4 linked regions of the Arabidopsis thaliana genome follow. The protein of the gene in region 4 purifies or fractionates together with the protein of the main gene of each other region. This does not show direct contact. Each region holds a gene or a part of one and is shown on either strand. Other genes may lie near its edges. The genes, in order: AT5G22320, EMB2770, AT2G43770 and STRS1.

What was found.
Region 1: the proteins of STRS1 (region 4) and AT5G22320 fractionate together in Arabidopsis thaliana (co-fractionation; one large-scale study listed by BioGRID). This does not show direct contact.
Region 2: the proteins of STRS1 (region 4) and EMB2770 fractionate together in Arabidopsis thaliana (co-fractionation; one large-scale study listed by BioGRID). This does not show direct contact.
Region 3: the proteins of STRS1 (region 4) and AT2G43770 fractionate together in Arabidopsis thaliana (co-fractionation; one large-scale study listed by BioGRID). This does not show direct contact.

What each region holds. Positions count from the first base shown.
Region 1 is NC_003076.8:7,387,471-7,392,285, reverse strand, and holds AT5G22320 (Leucine-rich repeat (LRR) family protein), read left to right. Parts: upstream 1-1,672; 5' UTR 1,673-1,859; coding exon 1,860-1,958; intron 1,959-2,038; coding exon 2,039-2,110; intron 2,111-2,216; coding exon 2,217-2,309; intron 2,310-2,456; coding exon 2,457-2,538; intron 2,539-2,619; coding exon 2,620-2,676; intron 2,677-2,768; coding exon 2,769-2,833; intron 2,834-2,906; coding exon 2,907-3,002; intron 3,003-3,106; coding exon 3,107-3,193; intron 3,194-3,307; coding exon 3,308-3,388; intron 3,389-3,484; coding exon 3,485-4,111; 3' UTR 4,112-4,282; downstream 4,283-4,815. Other genes in the region: RIN1 (P-loop containing nucleoside triphosphate hydrolases superfamily protein), read left to right, coding at 79-213, 299-364, 461-567, 659-758, 837-928, 1,011-1,080, 1,171-1,260.
Region 2 is NC_003075.7:1,515,522-1,522,417, reverse strand, and holds EMB2770 (pre-mRNA splicing factor-like protein), read left to right. Parts: upstream 1-1,854; 5' UTR 1,855-1,917; coding exon 1,918-5,007; 3' UTR 5,008-5,205; exon of another isoform or gene 5,206-5,293; 3' UTR 5,294-6,388; downstream 6,389-6,896. UniProt on the Arabidopsis thaliana protein: Pre-mRNA splicing factor required for splicing and for the turnover of unstable transcripts. May be a U5 snRNP-associated protein involved in the formation of U4/U6-U5 tri-snRNP. Involved in responses to abiotic stresses.
Region 3 is NC_003071.7:18,133,521-18,137,618, reverse strand, and holds AT2G43770 (Transducin/WD40 repeat-like superfamily protein), read left to right. Parts: upstream 1-1,582; 5' UTR 1,583-1,727; intron 1,728-2,280; 5' UTR 2,281-2,315; coding exon 2,316-3,347; 3' UTR 3,348-3,558; downstream 3,559-4,098. Other genes in the region: AT2G43780 (cytochrome oxidase assembly protein), read left to right, coding at 568-627, 954-1,175; AT2G43760 (molybdopterin biosynthesis MoaE family protein), read right to left, coding at 3,747-4,098.
Region 4 is NC_003070.9:11,478,120-11,483,436, forward strand, and holds STRS1 (DEA(D/H)-box RNA helicase family protein), read left to right. Parts: upstream 1-1,643; 5' UTR 1,644-1,801; coding exon 1,802-2,288; intron 2,289-2,369; coding exon 2,370-2,500; intron 2,501-2,598; coding exon 2,599-2,706; intron 2,707-2,795; coding exon 2,796-2,876; intron 2,877-3,030; coding exon 3,031-3,109; intron 3,110-3,213; coding exon 3,214-3,299; intron 3,300-3,378; coding exon 3,379-3,435; intron 3,436-3,517; coding exon 3,518-3,585; intron 3,586-3,668; coding exon 3,669-3,737; intron 3,738-3,830; coding exon 3,831-3,924; intron 3,925-4,019; coding exon 4,020-4,184; intron 4,185-4,288; coding exon 4,289-4,381; intron 4,382-4,492; coding exon 4,493-4,588; 3' UTR 4,589-4,771; downstream 4,772-5,317. Other genes in the region: AT1G31950 (Terpenoid cyclases/Protein prenyltransferases superfamily protein), read left to right, coding at 1-75; AT1G31960 (uncharacterized protein), read right to left, coding at 1,014-1,535. UniProt on the Arabidopsis thaliana protein: ATP-dependent RNA helicase required for 60S ribosomal subunit synthesis. Involved in efficient pre-rRNA processing, predominantly at site A3, which is necessary for the normal formation of 25S and 5.8S rRNAs.

The sequences.
Region 1 (4,815 bases), on a different chromosome or scaffold from region 4:
GTATGTGTATTAACCTTAGTTCCTAAGTTTATTAAGACTACTTGTTACTCAACTAGACCATATACTTTTGACTGATAGGATGTCACACTCCAAGATCTGGATGCAGCAAATGCTCGACCTCAAGGTGGCCAGGATATACTTTCTTTGATGGGCCAAATGATGAAACCGCGGAAGACTGAGATCACTGATAAGCTTCGGCAAGAAATTAACAAGGTGATTTTCGCTAGTACATGGGTGATTTTTTTAAGCATCTTACTTTCTCTTTTGCAAGGTCTAATATTTTTATATGCCATTGTAGGTTGTGAACCGATATATAGATGAAGGTGTGGCAGAGCTTGTTCCAGGAGTTCTATTTATTGATGAGGTATTTTCCCAAATAAAGTTTTTTTTCATTCCACTATTGATCTTGCTCAGGACTCAGGAGCAGTAAGAATACCTTTGTTTAATTATAAAACCTCAGGTTCATATGCTTGATATGGAGTGCTTCTCATACTTGAACCGTGCTCTTGAGAGCTCATTATCTCCGATAGTGATATTTGCAACAAATAGAGGTGTTTGCAACGTAAGGTGAGAAGAGCGCTAGACCTTGATAGACATTTTCCTTTGGAAATCTTGTGAGTTTTTGTTAACTTGGTACTGTGATTTACTTTATTTGCAGAGGGACTGATATGCCCAGCCCCCATGGAGTCCCTATTGATCTATTAGATCGATTGGTTATCATCCGGACTCAAATCTATGATCCCTCTGAAATGATCCAGGTTACTCAATTGTCATTTAGCTTTTGGATTTCAATTACTACGAACAACATTCTAATAGATTTATCATTTTGTTCACAGATTATAGCCATTCGTGCGCAAGTTGAAGAATTAACCGTGGATGAAGAATGCTTGGTTCTACTTGGGGAGATTGGGCAAAGAACTTCACTAAGGTACTGTCATCATTGCTTTTCTAAGCAAAATTTCTGTTCGTGAATCTAAATACTAAAACCTTTTTTGTGCTTTCACTCTCAGGCACGCTGTGCAGCTTCTGTCTCCTGCCAGCATTGTAGCGAAAATGAATGGCCGTGACAATATTTGCAAGGTAGATTTACTTGTGAAATCTTAGAACAATAAAACAAATGTAAAATATGTGGATGTTATGTTATTAATCCTTCATCTTAAATTTTGACAGGCTGATATAGAGGAAGTAACATCACTCTACTTGGATGCTAAATCTTCAGCAAAGCTTTTGCATGAGCAACAAGAAAAATACATCTCATGAGAAGAACACTAATCGCACATTTTGTTGAAACATCTCATAATTTTTCTGTCGTTTTATTTTGTAATGTCGGAATATGGAGAATGTCTAATGGGATTACAATTTGGTTTCTCTGAATTCATTTATTTATGTGCTATTTTTTTGTTTGTGGTGCTAACTAATGAAAACTGAAATATGGTTTCACGTGTATACACATACATGGTCGTGAGATTCAAACTTTTGGTTTCATATTGAGTTCCCTTGTTACATTACAATACACTTATTCAAGATCAAACTGTTTGTGGAACATAACATTGTGTAATTGTCTATTTGGTTACTGTTAAAAGTTGATGTTGCGCCAAAAAGAAAGAAAAAAAACTCTATTATCAGAACAGAGTCAGCAGAGTCGGAGATTATAAAACTTGAGGATCAAAGTGGGAGGAGTACCATAAGAGGGTGTCCCTGATCCGTACAATAATAACAAGGTCAAATGTATAAACAATAGAAAACTGTGGGGTTTTTGGGTAAAGACTTATCACGGTTGGGAACAGAGACAATCTTTTGAATAAGGTGAAACCAAAAGACTAGGGTTTTGTGTGACAAGGAAGAAGACGAAGACGGCGATGAATTCGTTAACCGTTGAACAAGTATTGAAAGAGAAGAAGACCAATGACCCAGATTCCGTCAAGGAACTTAATCTCGGCCATAAAGCTCTCACCGACGTGAGTATTGTTTCTGTTCTGAAACTCTGTTCCCAAGTAGAAATTGATACGAAACCCTAATTGTTTAATTGTATATTTAGGTGTCTTGTTTGAGCAAGTTCAAAAACTTGGAAAAGCTTGATCTTCGTTTCAACAATCTAACAGATCTTCAGGTTGATTGATACATAAATCTCATTTTATAAGCATAAATAGCATCCAAAGTTTTGATTTTTAAGTTGCTAGAGCTTATTATATGTTGATGTGTTAATTGGTTTTTAGGGACTCAAGTCTTGTGTGAACTTGAAATGGCTTTCAGTTGTGGAAAACAAATTGCAAAGCTTAAATGGAATTGAAGCACTCACTAAGCTTACGGTTAGTTCCACTGATATCACTGAGCTTGTTTCTTTGAGATTTGTATCACTTACCAATAGTGAGGTTCTCCAGGATTAAGCTTTGTTTTGACAGAAAACGAGTTAATATGTGTGCTTTATTTGACTGTGTGATGTTGTTTTCTATCAGGTGCTTAATGCTGGAAAGAATAAGCTCAAATCCATGAATGAGATCTCTTCTCTTGTCAATTTACGGGCCTTGATCTTGAATGGTAAGTTGTCAACGGTTTTATGTCTTTGCATCCACAAGCTACTGTTTGATTACTTACTCGTTATTGTTTCACTTGTTGTAGACAATGAAATCTCCTCCATTTGCAAGCTTGATTTACTCAAAGACTTGAACAGTCTCGGTATGTTCTTTTACATCAAAATCAACATGTTACTGTTTAGATGTTACACCTAATTTCATTCTACTTAAATGTGTATGGATTCATTCATGCAGTTCTTTCTAGGAACCCAATCAGTGAAATAGGTGACTCACTTTCAAAGTTGAAAAACCTCTCCAAAGTAAGCTCTTGTTTTCCTCCCGTTTCGGAATCACAACTAAACTGATCCTTGTCTAATCCCATCTCGGTTTCAGATTTCTTTGTCTGACTGCAGAATAAAAGCTATTGGCTCTTCTCTCAAGTCATGCTCTGATTTGAAAGAGCTGCGGCTCGCGAACAATGAAATCAAGGTGATCTTTCTTACATTTATGCAATCTACAGAACAAACCTGCCTCTTCTCACAATCTTTTGTTTATATTGCTAATCGTTATTTCATTTACGCTTAACTGTTCAGGCTCTCCCAGCAGAACTAGCAGTCAACAAAAGACTACTCAATTTGGATGTGGGAAACAATGTGATTACGCAACTCTCTGGTTTAGAGGTATAGTCTAATTCATATAGGTGAAAGCAAATTTGTTAGCCTTCCCTAGCTTGTGGCAAGTTTTTGTGGTGATCGTGTAATAAACCATCAAATTTGTGTGCTCCCAAATGATAGGTTTTGGGTACACTATCTTGCTTGCGAAATCTGAATATTCGAGGAAACCCGATTTCTGATAACGATAAGTCAGCTAAGAAGGTAAAACAACTTTTTCTACTTCTTTTTTCCATTGTGATTAGTGTAACTGCGTGAAGAAATCGTATAAGAATGAGGAAAATTGTTTTGATGTCGCAGGTGAGAACGTTGCTTCTCCCTTCAGTGAATGTATTCAACGCTCAACCCTTAGAAAAAAGCTCAAGGAATGCAAAGCATATTCGGCTTGATACCGATGATGAAACCTTTGATGCCTATCACAATAAATCAGCAGAAGAGGAACAATCTAAAGAAGATCGAAAACGCAAGAAGAGCTCTAAGAGAAATAAGTCAGAAGAAGAAGAAGTCAACAATGAGGATCACAAAAGCAAGAAGAAGAAGTCTAAGAGCAACACAAATGTAGATCAAGTTGAAACAAAAAAGAAAGAAGAACATAAAGAGAAGACAATCCCAAGTAACAATGATGATGATGATGATGCTGAGAAGAAACAGAAAAGGGCTACTCCAAAGGAGGAACTCGATGCTATAGATGATGCTGAAACCTCTTTCGCAGAAATCTTTTCCCGGGAAAATGTGCCAAAGGGTTCTGAAGACGGTATTGAGAAGAAGAAGAAAAGCAGCGTCCAAGAGACAGGTTTAGTAAAAGTGATAGATACTAAAGCTAACAAGAAGAAGAAGAAGAGTGAAAAGAAGCAAAGCAAGAGTGTAGTGATTGATCTTCCCATGGAGGTTGAGATCGGGTTAGGAGGAGAGTCTAAGTGGGAGTAAACTGCAACAGAGGGAGTGTTTTACTCTTTAAAAGAAGGGACAGTTATGTCTGTAACATCCAACGGCTAGGGAGTATTTTGATATGGTTAAAGAACATAGGAGAGGAAGAAAGTGGTTTCGATCTTCTTTATAAATTGTTTTCTGCACTGTTGAGAAGCTATATCTAATTTTATAAAATGTTTGTGTCATTGAAACCAAAACAAAAAAAGGAGAATAGGTCCCACCGAGACTTGAACTCGGGTTACTGGATTCAGAGTCCAATGTCCTGACCACTAGACCATGGGACCATTCTATTCACGCTTTAATATTTGTTATTTTTATTGTGTTAGTTTCTAGTGTGTAATAAAAAAGAGAAATAAAATGATACAAGCTAAATGCTAGGAAAAATGTGGAAACACTAGTTTGGACAATGAGAAGTTTGAATTTTGATTTCAGAAAAGAAAACTAAATTAATTTTAGTGCAGACTATTCCGATTAGGTGTAAATGTGGTCTACATTTGTGATATATTATGAAGACGTAGAGAAGAGTTAGAAATTTTTGTCATCTTCTTTTGTTTCCTATGTTTGTTTTGTAATGCTAATGTTAAAACCGATTTGCTAGTTCAAAATGTCCGTATCTACCCGTATTGAATGTATGTAATTACCCATAGTATGTATTGTATATTGTAAACGATATTTTTTTAGTTTAGCTTATTTGACAAAAA
Region 2 (6,896 bases), on a different chromosome or scaffold from region 4:
TACAGATTGTATCATAATTAGCTAGGTCCAGTTTGATCACTGTGATTGTAGTTGACAGATAGTCAAAATGACCTCTTGTTGTTTTGCTGGTGATCATTATTTCAGTACCTAAGTTTTTTTTACCCAACCCTCACTTCAACACATCTTTTGCTGCCACCATTTCCTTTCGCTTTCGGCCGCTGGTCACAACTCACAACAGCAACAATGACTAAAAGAATCTGCACTAAGTCAATTTCCAGCTTCTTGTTTTATTAAGGAAAATCTCGTGCCATGTAAATTGTCAGACTTTTGGTTTGTTTCCAGCTCATACCTGGTTTTGAGGTAGTCTATGTTCTTGGCTTGCCATTTCTTTTTAATCTTGAGCTATGTTCTTAGAGGCGGCTAAGCAGTTCAGGACTTGGTTGTTGGTTAACTTATTGTAGCAATACTTGTTCTTATTTGGGCTTTGCTGGGTGATCCAGAACTCGGCCACAAAGCCTTTCAGTTTGCCTTTCCATTTCTGTCTTTGGCTCTAAACTCCATGTAGGTCGCATTCTATTTTGGCGTGCTCGCTACAACAAGTGATATACTAGTTATTTTTTTTCGTTCTTCACTAAATACTAGATTTTAACCCGCGGTACACCGCGGAAACAATTTATTTTTTAAAGTTAGTATACATAAAAGTTTGCAAATTGTATCTATCTATAAATATTTTTATTTTATAGTTTACAATTGTTATTAAGTAACGTCCTGCCAAACCCGTCCCGCCAACCCGTCCCATAAAAAAAACATTTATTTTATTAATGTTAATCTTATTTATGATATGTTTATGAATTATTGTCTAAATATTTTGTAATTTTGTAATAATTAAATGCTATCAAATATCTCTGCGATTTGACGATTATAATTAAATTGTTATAGTCATGGAGAAAAACAATATCAAAAATGATAATTTTGTAGTAAATAAATGATATTAAATATTTTGAAAGTTTTATTTTAGTAACTAATCGTGTAGTTAATGTGGAGAGATTTAGGGAAGATTGTTAAATGTCAAATATTTAATTTGAAGATTTTTTTTCTAATTATCAAAAACAAACATTAAAATCCAGTGGCAGCTATTGTAAATAAGTCCCAACTATAAGATTTATTTCACAAAATTGCTGCAAAAATGTATATATAGATATTCAGCGCGTATTTTATTTTGTGCTCTATTTTCTTCTTGCCTATTACACTGTCCCATATATTCCTGGCTTTGGTCGTTGTCACTGGGCAACGGATATCCTCTCCGAATGCTATTATGGTTTGTTGATGAAGAAGATGCTGAAACATATCACACCTCTGGCTCTGGTCCGTGTGATTGAAACAAAAAAGACGAAAGGATGTCTTCTTATCTATTTGATTCAGTTGTTGTTTTCATAACTAGTAATTTATTACGTTGGTTTGGAAAGAGTCAGTAAGCGGGGATAGCTCAGTTGGGAGAGCGTCAGACTGAAGATCTCGATCCACGCTCACCGCATTACGTTGTCTTTTCGTTTTTATTTTCTTTCTATATATCTTTTACTCATTGATTGTGTTACATGAAGCGGGGATAGCTCAGTTGGGAGAGCGTCAGACTGAAGATCTGAAGGTCGCGTGTTCGATCCACGCTCACCGCAATATTTAGTCATTTAATTTTTTTCCCAAAGCCATGCAAACGACGTCGTTTAAAACCAAAACACACAGAGATAGTCATATACGGTGTCGCTTTATGAAAAGCTCGAATTATACTAACGGTGGTTTTACAATATGAAGTTCAAAAAGCCCATTAAAAAGCCCACTACATATCCCACCGCCTTTACCTCTGAACCGACTATTTTTTTTCCACCCTTTATATTCGTTGTAACAGCAGAGATTTTTATAGTTTGGTTTCTTTGACCGGAGAATCTCGATTAGGTTACGATGGTGTTTCTCTCGATTCCAAACGGGAAGACTTTATCGATCGACGTGAACCCTAATTCAACCACCATCTCCGCCTTCGAACAATTGGCCCACCAACGTAGTGATGTTCCACAATCTTTCCTTCGTTACTCTCTCCGTATGCGAAACCCTAGCCGCGTGTTTGTAGATTCAAAGGATTCCGATTCGATCTTATTGTCCGATCTCGGTGTTTCTCGTTTCTCTACTGTGATTATCCATGTCCTGCTTTTGGGTGGTATGCAAGCGGCTCCGCCGAAGCCTCGTCTTGATTTCCTCAATTCTAAGCCTCCGTCAAATTATGTAGCGGGTTTGGGTCGTGGTGCTACTGGGTTTACTACTCGATCTGATATTGGTCCTGCTCGTGCTGCTCCGGATCTTCCTGATCGGTCTGCTTTGGCTACAGCGGCTGCTCCAGGAGTAGGTCGTGGAGCAGGGAAGCCAAGTGAAGCGGAAGCGGAGGACGATGAAGAAGCTGAGGAGAAAAGGTACGATGAGAATCAGACGTTTGATGAGTTTGAAGGGAATGATGTTGGTTTGTTCGCTAATGCTGAGTACGATGAGGATGATAAAGAGGCTGATGCCATCTGGGAGTCTATTGATCAGAGGATGGATTCGAGGAGGAAAGATCGGAGAGAAGCGAAGCTGAAGGAAGAAATCGAGAAATACCGAGCCTCGAACCCTAAGATTACTGAGCAGTTTGCGGATTTGAAGAGGAAATTACACACTTTGTCTGCGGATGAGTGGGATAGTATTCCTGAGATTGGGGATTACTCGCTGAGGAACAAGAAGAAGAAGTTTGAGAGCTTTGTGCCTATTCCTGATACGCTTTTGGAGAAGGCGAAGAAAGAAAAGGAGCTTGTCATGGCCTTAGACCCAAAGAGCAGAGCCGCTGGTGGGTCGGAGACACCATGGGGGCAGACGCCGGTGACAGACTTGACTGCTGTCGGTGAGGGAAGAGGTACGGTGTTGTCTCTGAAGCTTGATAACCTATCAGATTCAGTTTCGGGGCAAACTGTAGTGGATCCTAAAGGCTACTTAACTGACCTGAAGAGTATGAAAAGAACCACTGATGAAGAGATATACGATCGCAATAGAGCTAGATTGTTATACAAGAGTCTGACCCAGTCGAATCCAAAGAATCCAAATGGCTGGATTGCTGCTGCTAGAGTGGAGGAGGTGGATGGGAAGATTAAAGCAGCTAGGTTTCAGATTCAGAGGGGCTGCGAAGAGTGCCCGAAAAATGAGGATGTTTGGCTTGAAGCTTGTAGGTTAGCTAATCCAGAAGATGCCAAGGGGGTTATTGCGAAGGGAGTTAAGCTGATACCCAATTCAGTGAAGCTATGGTTGGAGGCTGCAAAGCTGGAGCATGATGTGGAGAACAAGAGTAGGGTGTTGAGAAAGGGACTGGAACATATTCCAGACTCTGTAAGACTATGGAAGGCTGTTGTTGAGTTGGCTAATGAGGAGGATGCAAGGATTTTGCTTCACAGGGCTGTGGAGTGCTGCCCTTTGCATCTGGAGCTATGGGTGGCACTTGCGAGGCTCGAAACATATGCTGAATCAAAGAAGGTGTTGAACAAAGCGAGAGAGAAGCTCCCAAAGGAGCCTGCAATTTGGATCACCGCTGCTAAGTTAGAAGAAGCTAATGGGAAGCTAGATGAAGCTAATGATAACACGGCTATGGTGGGAAAGATTATTGATAGGGGTATAAAGACTCTCCAGAGAGAAGGGGTTGTTATTGACCGAGAAAATTGGATGAGTGAGGCTGAGGCATGTGAGAGAGTTGGATCTGTCGCTACATGCCAGGCCATTATTAAGAACACAATAGGTATTGGAGTGGAAGAAGAGGATAGAAAGAGAACTTGGGTTGCTGATGCAGATGAGTGCAAGAAGAGGGGTTCCATTGAGACCGCAAGAGCAATATACGCCCATGCTCTTAGTGTATTCTTGACCAAGAAAAGTATCTGGCTTAAAGCGGCGCAGCTTGAGAAGAGCCATGGGAGTCGGGAGTCCCTTGATGCCTTGTTGCGTAAGGCTGTAACATATGTCCCGCAAGCTGAGGTTCTCTGGCTCATGGGTGCCAAAGAGAAGTGGCTCGCTGGAGATGTTCCAGCAGCCCGTGCTATTCTACAAGAGGCTTATGCTGCAATTCCCAACTCTGAGGAAATCTGGCTTGCTGCTTTCAAGCTTGAGTTTGAGAACAAGGAGCCGGAGAGGGCAAGAATGCTGCTTGCAAAAGCAAGGGAAAGAGGAGGGACTGAAAGGGTCTGGATGAAATCAGCCATTGTTGAGAGAGAACTTGGCAACGTAGAGGAGGAGAGGAGATTGCTTAATGAAGGTTTGAAGCAATTCCCAACATTCTTCAAGCTTTGGTTAATGCTTGGGCAGCTCGAGGAACGGTTCAAGCATCTAGAACAGGCCAGGAAAGCTTATGACACTGGTTTGAAGCACTGTCCCCACTGCATACCACTGTGGCTCTCACTCGCTGATCTTGAAGAGAAAGTGAATGGGCTAAACAAAGCTCGGGCTATTCTCACCACGGCCAGGAAGAAGAATCCTGGGGGGGCTGAGCTATGGTTAGCTGCTATTCGCGCTGAACTGAGGCATGACAACAAGAGAGAAGCAGAGCACTTGATGTCAAAGGCTCTGCAAGACTGTCCCAAGAGTGGTATCCTCTGGGCTGCGGACATTGAGATGGCGCCACGTCCTCGACGGAAAACAAAGAGTATTGATGCTATGAAGAAGTGTGATCGCGACCCTCATGTCACCATAGCTGTTGCCAAGCTCTTTTGGCAAGACAAGAAGGTGGAGAAAGCCAGAGCATGGTTTGAACGTGCTGTTACCGTTGGCCCAGATATTGGCGATTTCTGGGCGTTGTTCTACAAATTTGAACTTCAACATGGCTCTGATGAGGACAGGAAGGAAGTTGTGGCGAAGTGTGTAGCTTGTGAGCCGAAGCATGGCGAGAAATGGCAAGCCATCTCCAAAGCGGTTGAAAATGCTCACCAGCCTATTGAAGTTATCTTGAAGAGAGTTGTGAATGCGTTGAGCAAGGAAGAGAATTCTGCTTGAGAGTATCAATTTTCTTATGTTTTTCATGATCAAGCTCTGCTCATAGCACATTACACCTTAGTTCTTGTTTTCTCTTTGCAGGCTCAACTTTTAACCATTCATGTTTTTCTTCAGTAGCGAGACCTGATATTGATTTACAGGAGTGTTTCACCAGATACATGTAGAATTCTCAGTTTACTAAATGCTTCAGTTTTCTTTGTGAGTCTCTGTGTGCTGCAGTGTTCAGCTATTAAACTTCTTTTGTTATTTGTATAACTGATCATTTGTTGTTCGTTTCATGCCTTAGCCTTCATCCTTAGGGAGCTTTTGTCTGCCTGGTGACTAAGATTGGTGCGTGGGCAAGTCATGAAACCCACACTCCCAACGCTTCTTTAGACAGTGTAAGAAAACTAACCCCTGACACAGTTTTTAGAGTTCTTTGTCCATTAACACTAGCTGTGATAGTAATTCTTAGAAGAAGATATTGGTAACCTTTTTAGCCTTAATACTAATAAACCTCTTGCCTGTTAAAATCAACCAACTAGTTTATTTGCCTTCTTTTGGAGAGCTGATTCTCAAACAAAGGCGACTTGTTTTCCTATCTTCAGTAGACCCTTGACTTTGAGAACCTTTTGGTCGCTCTCATCCTGTGGTAACACTGCAATTTGTTTTATTGTTGGGTAAAACTAGTTTGCAAGTACAAAGGTTGATTTGTTCTAGTCTTTTGCCGAGTACCTCTGGTGAGGCATGAGAAACAACAGGATATATTGTGTGGACAGTCCATTAGTTTCGATTCAACCGAAGATAAGAGAGAACTGAAAGTGAGACCAGTTTCCTCGTGATGGCCGTCTGTGAAACTCCTGCATTTCCAGTATTTGGTCAGCTTTCAAGTGTATAATAATTGGCGTTGAGGAAGTTCCCTCAGAACATTGTGACTGCCATAATCAGGATCAACTCCGATCAGAACAGACCGCACTAAAAAAAAAAAAAAAGAGGACCAAATCAAAGACAATCTGTTTGGTTTACCAAAAGCGGACCACAATAGGCTGTATTTAGCAATTAGCATATCACAACTAATCACCTCATCTATATCTAGTTTCTAAAGACTAGTTATACCATTATCCAAATTTATTATGTATTGTTCTTTTGGAGAACACATGGCGACAACGTGTCCAAAATATGGACCCAAAAGTGCTACCAAAAAACATAACAAAAGGCAAAATAAAATAAAAATGCAATATTAGGTTTGCAATCATCATCATATGATGATGGGGACAAGAACATGTTCGTTAACATTTTTTCCAAAAGATTAACACAAATAGATAACGTTATCGTTGGTTAAATGTATAATGCGAATGTGGAGCTAAATAGCAAAATATAAAGTAAGTGGATATATACGAACCGCATATTTGACTTTGGTACCATCAAATGTCCGTGCCTAGTTGGTTGTTGAACATTTTAATTACTTTATCAAAATATCTTATATGTTAGACTTTTGTGCTCTTGTTATTTCTGTGGTATGGTTAGAGGTTTATAGTTGATGTTAATTAGATAAGACATCATCTAAACCATCTTCTTAAACAAATCATATCTCCTCGTGAGTGTTACATAAAACTGTGATCGGTAGCCGAACACGATAATGTATTTAATTGGCCCAACAATCCAATTCATTTATGATGAAGAATAAAAAGAAATTCAAGTGTAGTTGGTTTAACGTTTTTTTTTTTTAATATAAGATGTTGTTTTGGTTCTGTTTAATGTTCTTGAGTCGTAAAATATAGGTAAGTTTTGTTACGGAATCTGTGCAAAATGCACATGTGATCATTTCCTCTAAGTCAGTACTTACTCTTTACTGCTAACAGATTAATTACATTGTATATAAAATTAATTAGATATGAAGTAAGGGCGGG
Region 3 (4,098 bases), on a different chromosome or scaffold from region 4:
CTCTTTCACACGAGAGCTCTTACTGGGTTTAGGGTTTTCGATAGATTGGTAAGTGGCCACGACACTAAGCGTCACCGAACCAGTTGTCAACTAAATAGGGAAACTTTAGGCTTCTGTCGCATTTAGGCACGATTCTCTGTAGAAGAAAAAAATATCAGCTTTGTTGTATCTTTCGGATTTTCGAGTGATCATCAAACCTTCATCACCAGGTTCCTTTCGATTCCATTTTAATTTTGTGGACTTTGGAGTAATTTGCTTAAAGAACCAATTTTTGATTGATATTTTCTGCTCTCCTTTCATTTTGACATTTTGATCTGGTTTTGAGAACTTTGGTTGAGTAACAGTAGCCTGCGTTTAAAAGATGTTAGCTTTGGATGTATAGATGTAGAGTTAGGTTTCTAATTGCCTTTATTTTTGCTTTGGTTGATGATTTATGGTTGATTGACTCGTTAAAGGGAAGTGCGCTGATTTTGTGGACAATTATGTTAGACTGATGGGCATGAATGTGACCAATTGATTTTCTCTCCGTTTCCATTATGATGCAGAAGAAAGTTCTATTTTGCTGAAATGTTTTGCAACTTTCAGTTGTTCATTCATACCATGATTGTACTCATCTTTGATCTCGTTGTGAGTACTATCACTTACTCTTGGCGTAGTAGTTCTTAGGATGAGGTATAAGTATAACAATTCGAAAATTCGTCGTATTCAATCTGTGTAATCTGTTTTTCACTATATGAACAATATGTCAATGTCCTGCGATGCCTCAGGGCTTCTGGAGTCACTTCTGCAATGTTAAAAAGAGTAATCAAAAGTTGTTATATCATGCTTCAGAGTTCTCTCTTGTTATTCCTCATCTTAGTATTTATGAAACTGTGATATTGAAGATATAACATAATCTAATACTTCTGATACTTGGGTCTCTTCTGTAACATGTGACACATTGGATCTTGCAGGTTAAAGACTTTGAAGTAATGGCGGGATTTCCAGGTTTTAGTTACCTAGGCCCAAAAGGCAAGAACACGGTTGTAGCTGGTGGCTTGACAGCTTTTGTTTTTGGGGTATACTTCTACACAATGAGGGCGGTTGGTGGCACAGACGAGCTTCAAGTGGCTATAGACAAGTTCGAAGGCCAAAAACAGGTGGACACTGACACCAAGGTTCCATCTAAGGTCTAATCCTCACTGGCTTGATATGTCCAACCAAACCCGTTATTTATCTTTGCTTTCCAAGCTTCTTTTGTCACGAAAGTGGCTCGTTTCTGACATCGAGTGGCATCTGTGTTTGAGTCTCAGTCCAATCTATAATACATTGATTAAACAAGAGAATGTATGATCAGGACATGGTTTTGATGTTCTTGACATTGTCTTAAGTTCTCAACTTTATCATACTCTTTGTACCTAAACGTTTGGTCTAAGCTAAGGTGTGGCTATCCATAAATTTCTGTTACTACGCCGTCAAAATCAATCAAAAGAAACCCAATTTGTCAGCCCAAAAAACATGCAGGAGATGGGTTATTTTGACAAAAAGAATAGTATCGGGTTCATTCCGTCATAAAATAGGGTCTTATCAATATTTTGCAAATAAACCAAAATTAAATACAGACTTGTTTAATTTCTGAATCTCTCTCTTCCTCTTTCTCGCGAGCTTTTTCTCTCTGGGTTTAGGGTTCCGGTAATTTTGCGACGACACCGAGCGATTCGTGCCTCCCTCCCCTTCCTTTGACTTCGGTGCGTAACTTCTTTCTATGTAGGGTTACTCTTTTAAGTAATTTCGTTCTATGAAGTCTTCTGCTGGAATTTTGGTATCTATCAAGCTTTTTTTCTTGAACTCTTCACTGTCTGTAATATAATGGGAGGTGAATCATGCATGTATGTTTCGATTTTGAGACGAATCGAGCTGCTAGTACTAAATTTGGTGTTAGTGGTTGCTTTGCTTTATGTCAAAATTGAATCTGTGAGATCTCTGTAACCGGACTTGAAGTCCTTTTTTCGTCTCTGGTGCAAAACCACAACAAGTTTTAGAGAGATATCGATTTCTTAATGATCTGTGTTTATTTACTTGCGGCTTGAGAATAAACATTGCAACCTTTTGCTTTTGTAGGCTTTACTTAGAATGTGCAGGTTTCATGATACTTCTTGGTGTTTACTATCTGCTTTTCGGATGTTATATTGATTAATGGCTTGAAAATTTTGAAATTGAGATATCTATAAAAGCTACACAGCTGTGTGAATATTGTTATAATTCGCTCAATCTTCTGATTCGTTTTCTCATGGAATCCAGGTTCTAACTTGATTACCAGTGAGAAGTAGGCTAAGATGGAAATCATGTCAAGAGAGAATGAGACTGCTTTGTCAGGTCCTAGGCCGATGGAATGGTCTACCGTCCCACACAGTGCTTCTCAAGGACCTGGTCCCAATGGCAAGAACCGGACCTCGAGCTTGGAAGCACCTATCATGTTGCTAAGTGGACATCCGAGTGCTGTCTATACCATGAAGTTCAATCCTGCTGGAACTCTGATTGCATCTGGATCCCATGACAGAGAAATCTTCCTCTGGAGAGTTCACGGGGACTGCAAAAACTTCATGGTTTTGAAAGGTCACAAGAACGCCATCCTTGATCTTCATTGGACCAGTGATGGCTCCCAGATTGTATCAGCTAGTCCGGATAAAACTGTAAGGGCTTGGGATGTTGAGACTGGGAAACAAATCAAGAAGATGGCTGAACATTCATCGTTTGTGAATTCTTGCTGTCCTACACGTAGAGGGCCACCTCTTATCATCAGTGGATCTGATGATGGAACTGCCAAGCTTTGGGACATGCGTCAAAGAGGAGCCATACAAACATTTCCTGATAAATACCAAATCACTGCAGTCAGTTTCTCAGATGCAGCTGATAAGATTTTCACTGGTGGTGTAGACAATGATGTTAAGGTTTGGGACTTGAGAAAAGGTGAAGCCACCATGACACTTGAGGGCCATCAAGATACAATCACAGGTATGAGCTTAAGCCCAGACGGTTCCTACCTTCTCACTAATGGAATGGACAACAAGCTCTGTGTGTGGGACATGCGTCCTTATGCTCCACAAAACCGATGTGTAAAGATCTTTGAGGGGCATCAACACAACTTTGAGAAGAACCTGCTGAAATGTTCATGGTCACCTGATGGTACAAAAGTTACTGCCGGTAGCTCAGACCGTATGGTTCATATCTGGGACACAACCAGTCGGCGCACTATATATAAGCTCCCAGGCCATACCGGTTCTGTCAATGAGTGTGTTTTCCACCCAACCGAGCCTATCATTGGATCTTGCAGTAGTGATAAAAATATCTACTTGGGAGAGATCTGAATTTCAAAGCTGTGAAACCTTTGCAACTCTAAGTGGAATTGAAGTCTTTAGAATCGACGATGTGCTTTGAGACATTTTGTTTATTGAAAGAAAAAACGAAACATTGCTCTTTGGTACAAGTAATCAAGATTTGTTATCTCCTGTAATATCTTCATTACGCTCTTTATCTTCTTCTACTTTAACAGATGAGGTCATCATTTTAGTTCTCCTTAAAATTGTTATCTTTGGTATTACAATCTTGCAGTATCTTCGATTAGATTCTTACAGATTCAAGCAGTAGCAAGTATAAGCCCAGTCCAGTAACCAACTAACGCATATAAGTCTTTAGATTCAACAATGTGCTTAAGAAAGTTTGTCTATTGAAAGTAAAAAGCGAAACAGTGTTACTGCTACAAGTGATCAAGAAGAAGATTTGTTATCTCCTGTAATATCTTTATGCTCTTCATCTTCTTCTACTCTAACTTTGCTTCCACAGCAACCTCTTCTTCTATGTTCTTCAACCACAGTTTTTTTTACAATGCTGTCTCTTTTCTCTGCAAGCTCCAATCTTTTCTCCATAAACTCAGAATTCTCCTTCCAAATCTCTCCATTAGTGTAAACCTCTTTCTTCCATATCGGAACCGATGCCTTCAACTCGTCGATCAAGAACTTGCAAGCATCTAAACCATCTGCACGGTGAACAGATGAGACCGCAATGAGCACGCTAGTTTCTCCAACAGGAACTGGTCCAAGACGGTGAGCAACAGCAATC
Region 4 (5,317 bases):
GGATACAGTGAACCCAAGGGCAAAATCGAACACTTTATGACATCCTTGTACCTCCACCCTATACCCCTTTCATAATGACGTGGAACACACACCAATCTAGGTCTATTCGGGGATGCTTTGAAATTAAAAAACAAAACAAAAGTAGTCCTTTGTTCTCTGTTTGTTCACTGTTACTCTAAGGCATGACTACTGTCACTCTGGTATCTGTCTAAACTCTTAAGAACTTTGAACACAACCAAACTAATTTAACTAAACATCGAGAAGTAAAAAGAGATGGTACCTTGAGTTTTCTATCTGTAATTTCATGGAGCCTCCAAAGTGCTTGTCCATGACCATGATCTCAGATTACTCTGCATTGTTAAGTTTCAGAACATCAATAGCTCTTTTTATAGTAGCATTATAAGCACTCAATAGGCTAACAAATTAACTCCTTCTCATCACGAATTAAAAAGAGAATATGATTAAAATGTTCTCTTTTCTCAGCAGTAAATTGTATAATTCTCCGGCGGAAACAAAACACAAAGCTCGAAACTTTACCATTATATTGGTTTCCCTCCGTAGTCTACGGCAAAGGAGAAAAAAAGCAGGAGCAATCCGACCAGATGGAAACGATCATTTCAGAATCTTATCATGTCCTAACGACGGCGTCTCCGGCGAGGCACATCGGTGAGATAAGTGAGAAAAATGGGTCTGTTTGGATATGGATGTAAGGCTAATAAGCCCATTGGGTTTTAGATCAATCTTTTGTTTATTACAATTTGCACCCTTCTATTTTCTATATTTGATGAAAAATATTAAGGTTTTTATGTATCAGCGACAAAATCAAAATACACATAAGCACAACTACATTTACCTCCATGTTTGATGACACATAAACAACTCAAAATTCCATATGAAAATTCATCAATTTCGCAATTAAAGCTCTATTATGTTATTTGTGAAGAACCAAACATGAGAACTGATCATCAAAACTAACCTCAATTTGACTTTTAACCGTCGAATGATTTTAATCATCAATTTGAATCTCCGTTTGTGCTCCTTGCAAGTCTTATAATGCCAGTAACATTGGTAACACCATCGTCACCCATCTCGTTGTTGTAGAAATCATTCACAACAGAAATGGTCACAACGTTGGATGTTTCTACAGAGTGAAATCGCACAACACCATTAGAACCCTTAACACCAGCGTCGTCAAACAATTTTCTCCTTATACTTGTCGGATTGTTGAGGTAACTCCGGTTGGTGTGTTTTGTTACCATAGCAGACATTTTGAAGCCATTAGTATAAAAGACTTGTGCATCGCCTACTATCCCTTTGTCTTTATCCACCCGACCGGAGCAGTCCTTTTTAATCAGTGTGTTCTGGTTGTCATCAACAATGGGGTCAAGGGACAGAAATAAATTCAGATTCATCGTTGTATACTTCACATCCAAAAATTGCCTTACACTCATATTGCTGGTAACAATCACATGCGATTTTGCTGTAACGCCCCGACCGCCCCTACCAGTGGGTCTCACGTCCTCTTTCGCGTCCATGGGTCATCCCCTATCCGACGGTTGGTATGCAACGTTCGGGAGGCTTTAAAGACTTGTTATCGATCTACAAATCAAATTAAATTTGGGTTTTACTTTAACAAAAGAGATGTCTAGACTCTCTATGTAATAACCAAAACTATGTAGGCAAAATTGCAATTGTAGAAAATATTTTTGCAATGCTTTAAAACCCTAAAAACCTAAATTGAACAACGGACTCTCGTTCGGCCGTTTCATCAACAACTCTCTCCTGTAAACGAAACAAAGAAATGGCTGGACAAAAGCAAGAGCTTCCCGTCTCCGGCGAACCTTTAGCCGTCGAGAGTCCGATGACCAACAAGAAGAAGAAGAAAAGCAAGAAGAACAAACATACAGAGGAAAATCATGAAGTCGAAGAAGTGCCTCAAGAGGTCACTAATGGTGTAGAGGAAGAGTTGAGTAATAAAGAGAAGAAGAAGAAACGTAAGAGAGAGGAGAAAGAGTCTGAGAAGAATAAGAAGAAGGATGTCCCGGAGAAGAAGCTTGAAGCTGAGGATTTAGGAGAAGGAGAGAGTGAACAACAGAAGGTTGTTGTGACTGGGAAAGGTGTGGAAGAAGCAAAGTACGCAGCTTTGAAGACTTTTGCTGAATCGAATTTGCCGGAGAATGTTTTAGATTGTTGTAAGACTTTCGAGAAGCCGTCTCCGATTCAGTCACATACGTGGCCGTTTTTGTTAGATGGGCGTGATCTTATCGGGATTGCGAAAACTGGGTCAGGTTAGTAATGTTTATGGAAGTGTGAAAGTTTTGAACTTTGGTTGAAAAGATTGAAACTTTTTGTGTTTTGTGTGTATTTAGGTAAGACATTGGCTTTTGGGATTCCTGCGATTATGCATGTGTTGAAGAAAAATAAGAAGATTGGTGGAGGATCAAAGAAGGTTAATCCTACTTGTTTAGTTCTTTCTCCTACACGAGAATTGGCTGTTCAGGTATATATATTGTTTCTTGTTCATTATGATTACAATGTGAAAATGAAAACGTATGGTCAAGTTTCTTAGTGTTGTGTTTGTTTTTGGTGGTTTGGTAGATTTCTGATGTTTTGCGTGAAGCTGGAGAACCGTGTGGTTTGAAATCGATTTGTGTGTATGGTGGAAGCTCTAAAGGGCCTCAAATAAGTGCAATTCGATCTGGAGTTGTAAGATTTCTTATTATGTTCTTTGATTAGGACATTCTCTTATGTTTCTGGATCAGTTGAGTAATGTTTTTTCTTGATTTATTTGTTAGGATATTGTCATTGGTACGCCTGGTCGTTTGAGAGACTTGATTGAGTCTAATGTGCTTCGTCTCTCGGATGTTTCCTTTGTCGTAAGCAGCAGAACATCTTTTGATTATGTTATTTGATGACTTAGCCTCGTAGGATCATCATCATAGTCGTTGCATCGTTTCTTGCTCCTATAATGAAACAACGGGAATCATATTTTCGAGTTATTAGATGGTAACAGAAGTTCCTACATGTCAGGTATTGGATGAAGCAGATCGAATGCTTGATATGGGTTTCGAGGAACCTGTCCGGTTTATATTGAGTAACACAAATAAAGGCAGGTGGTTTTTACATTTCACTTAGCATTCTTGTGAGAAGCCAAATTTGATATATGTGCTAAATTGTAATGAAAACTCTTCTTCTTTCTTATCTGTCTTATAGTTCGTCAAATGGTTATGTTCAGTGCAACTTGGCCTTTGGATGTTCACAAATTGGCCCAGGAATTCATGGATCCAAATCCAATCAAGGTCTGTTTTCCTCCTCAGTTTGTCTTTCCTCACCTGCAAGTTGCTTAAAATTTCCGATGATCATTCAAATTTCTTTCAGGTGATCATAGGTTCTGTAGACTTAGCTGCCAACCACGACGTTATGCAAATCATTGAGGTATGTTCTATCGGATCATCCTCATAGCAAGTAGTGTTGTCCTTTATATGATACTCTTAACAAGGTTTGGTTACAAATGCAGGTCTTGGATGAACGTGCGCGTGATCAGCGTCTCATTGCATTACTAGAAAAATACCATAAATCTCAAAAGTAAATTTGCTACTTAATCATTGAACTCTTACCAGATCTTTCCTTTTTCAACATACTAATACCAAGCGTTTTGGTATTTTCAGGAACAGGGTTTTGGTATTTGCTTTATACAAGGTGGAAGCTGAACGTCTCGAGCGTTTTCTTCAGCAAAGGTTTGATCTTTTAGCCCAAATCACATCAACTAAAGAGAAAAAGATCTTTGATATTATTGCTCATGAAATTCGATATTTACTCAACTATTTTAGAGGTTGGAAAGCTGTATCTATACACGGAAACAAAGCACAGAGCGAACGTACCAGGTCTTTATCATTGTTCAAAGAAGGATCCTGCCCGTTACTGGTATGCGTACTCTTATCATTCCGCAATTCCATGGCTAATAAAAATACATTGACTGGTTCTGAAACAGAGCATTGACACTGTTTTATAAATTACAGGTGGCTACTGATGTTGCAGCAAGAGGGCTTGATATCCCGGACGTGGAAGTTGTGATAAACTACACTTTCCCTTTAACAACAGAGGATTATGTACACAGAATCGGGAGGACAGGAAGAGCGGGTAAAAAGGGCGTTGCACACACCTTCTTCACGCCACTGAACAAGGTAATACTGAAAACACTCTTTTTAAAAATTTCTTTGAGCTACATCCTTTCCACAGAGTTGTTGAGAATGGAAATGATTCAAATTTGATCGTATCTTCCTTACAGGGTCTTGCAGGAGAACTTGTGAATGTTCTTAGGGAAGCAGGACAAGTAGTGCCAGCTGATCTTTTGAAGTTTGGCACTCATGTAAAGAAAAAGGTTTGATTTTCTTCCCTCACATTTTTGATTCTCCACACAAATTGCTTCTTCTTCTTCATCATCTGGATTCTGGAGTGATTGATGAGTGTTTTGTTTGATTAAAAATTGCAGGAATCAAAATTGTATGGAGCTCATTTCAAAGAAATAGCTGCTGATGCTCCTAAAGCTACGAAGATCACATTCGATAATTCTGATGACGAAGACTAGCTTAGTTTATTATTTTAATGGTATCATTATTTTATTATATTTACTTGGACAATGAAACCTGCATTTGATTTTCGTTTGTGGTCTGGGGCTTGGCCCGAATAACAAAAACAAATATATTTCAGAATTTTCATTATATTTGTATGCAATTTTGTGTTACTAGTTATTAAACTTTTATTTGTCCACAAAAAAGGTTATATTATTTTCCTTTGATGAAAAAAAGGTTTTATCTTTTTTCTTGAAACATTAATTGATCAGACACTTCAATATATTAATGACACTAATTGAGGAAGTATTTTTGCTATTTTGATGCTTCTTGGCTGCATAAAGCCAACGTGAGTGGTATGGCTCCTCCTTAGATGGATATTTTACATTTTACATTTTACATGATTTTTTCTTAGTTGATGTTATACGATCTATTTGGGTCGACTTATATAAAAATACATATATTTTATTGTTGCAATTATTAATTTTTCTCATAGCTAAATGTTCTTAGATCATGGCTCTAAAGTGTTATAGGGTTGCGAATGTGGTTGACAGTTTGTATTTATGAGTGTTTGTTCTAAGCTATGTTCTTTGCATCGTAAAGTCGTGGACATCCCGGATTAGTCCCGAGTCTTGTTGGACACACAAGCTATCTTGTTTGGCAGTCTAGCCGCTCTCCTGCCCATCGTTGTGATTTGGACAACGTTTGCTACTGTTCTTCTTATTCTCTGGTTTTTCTTTACTCTT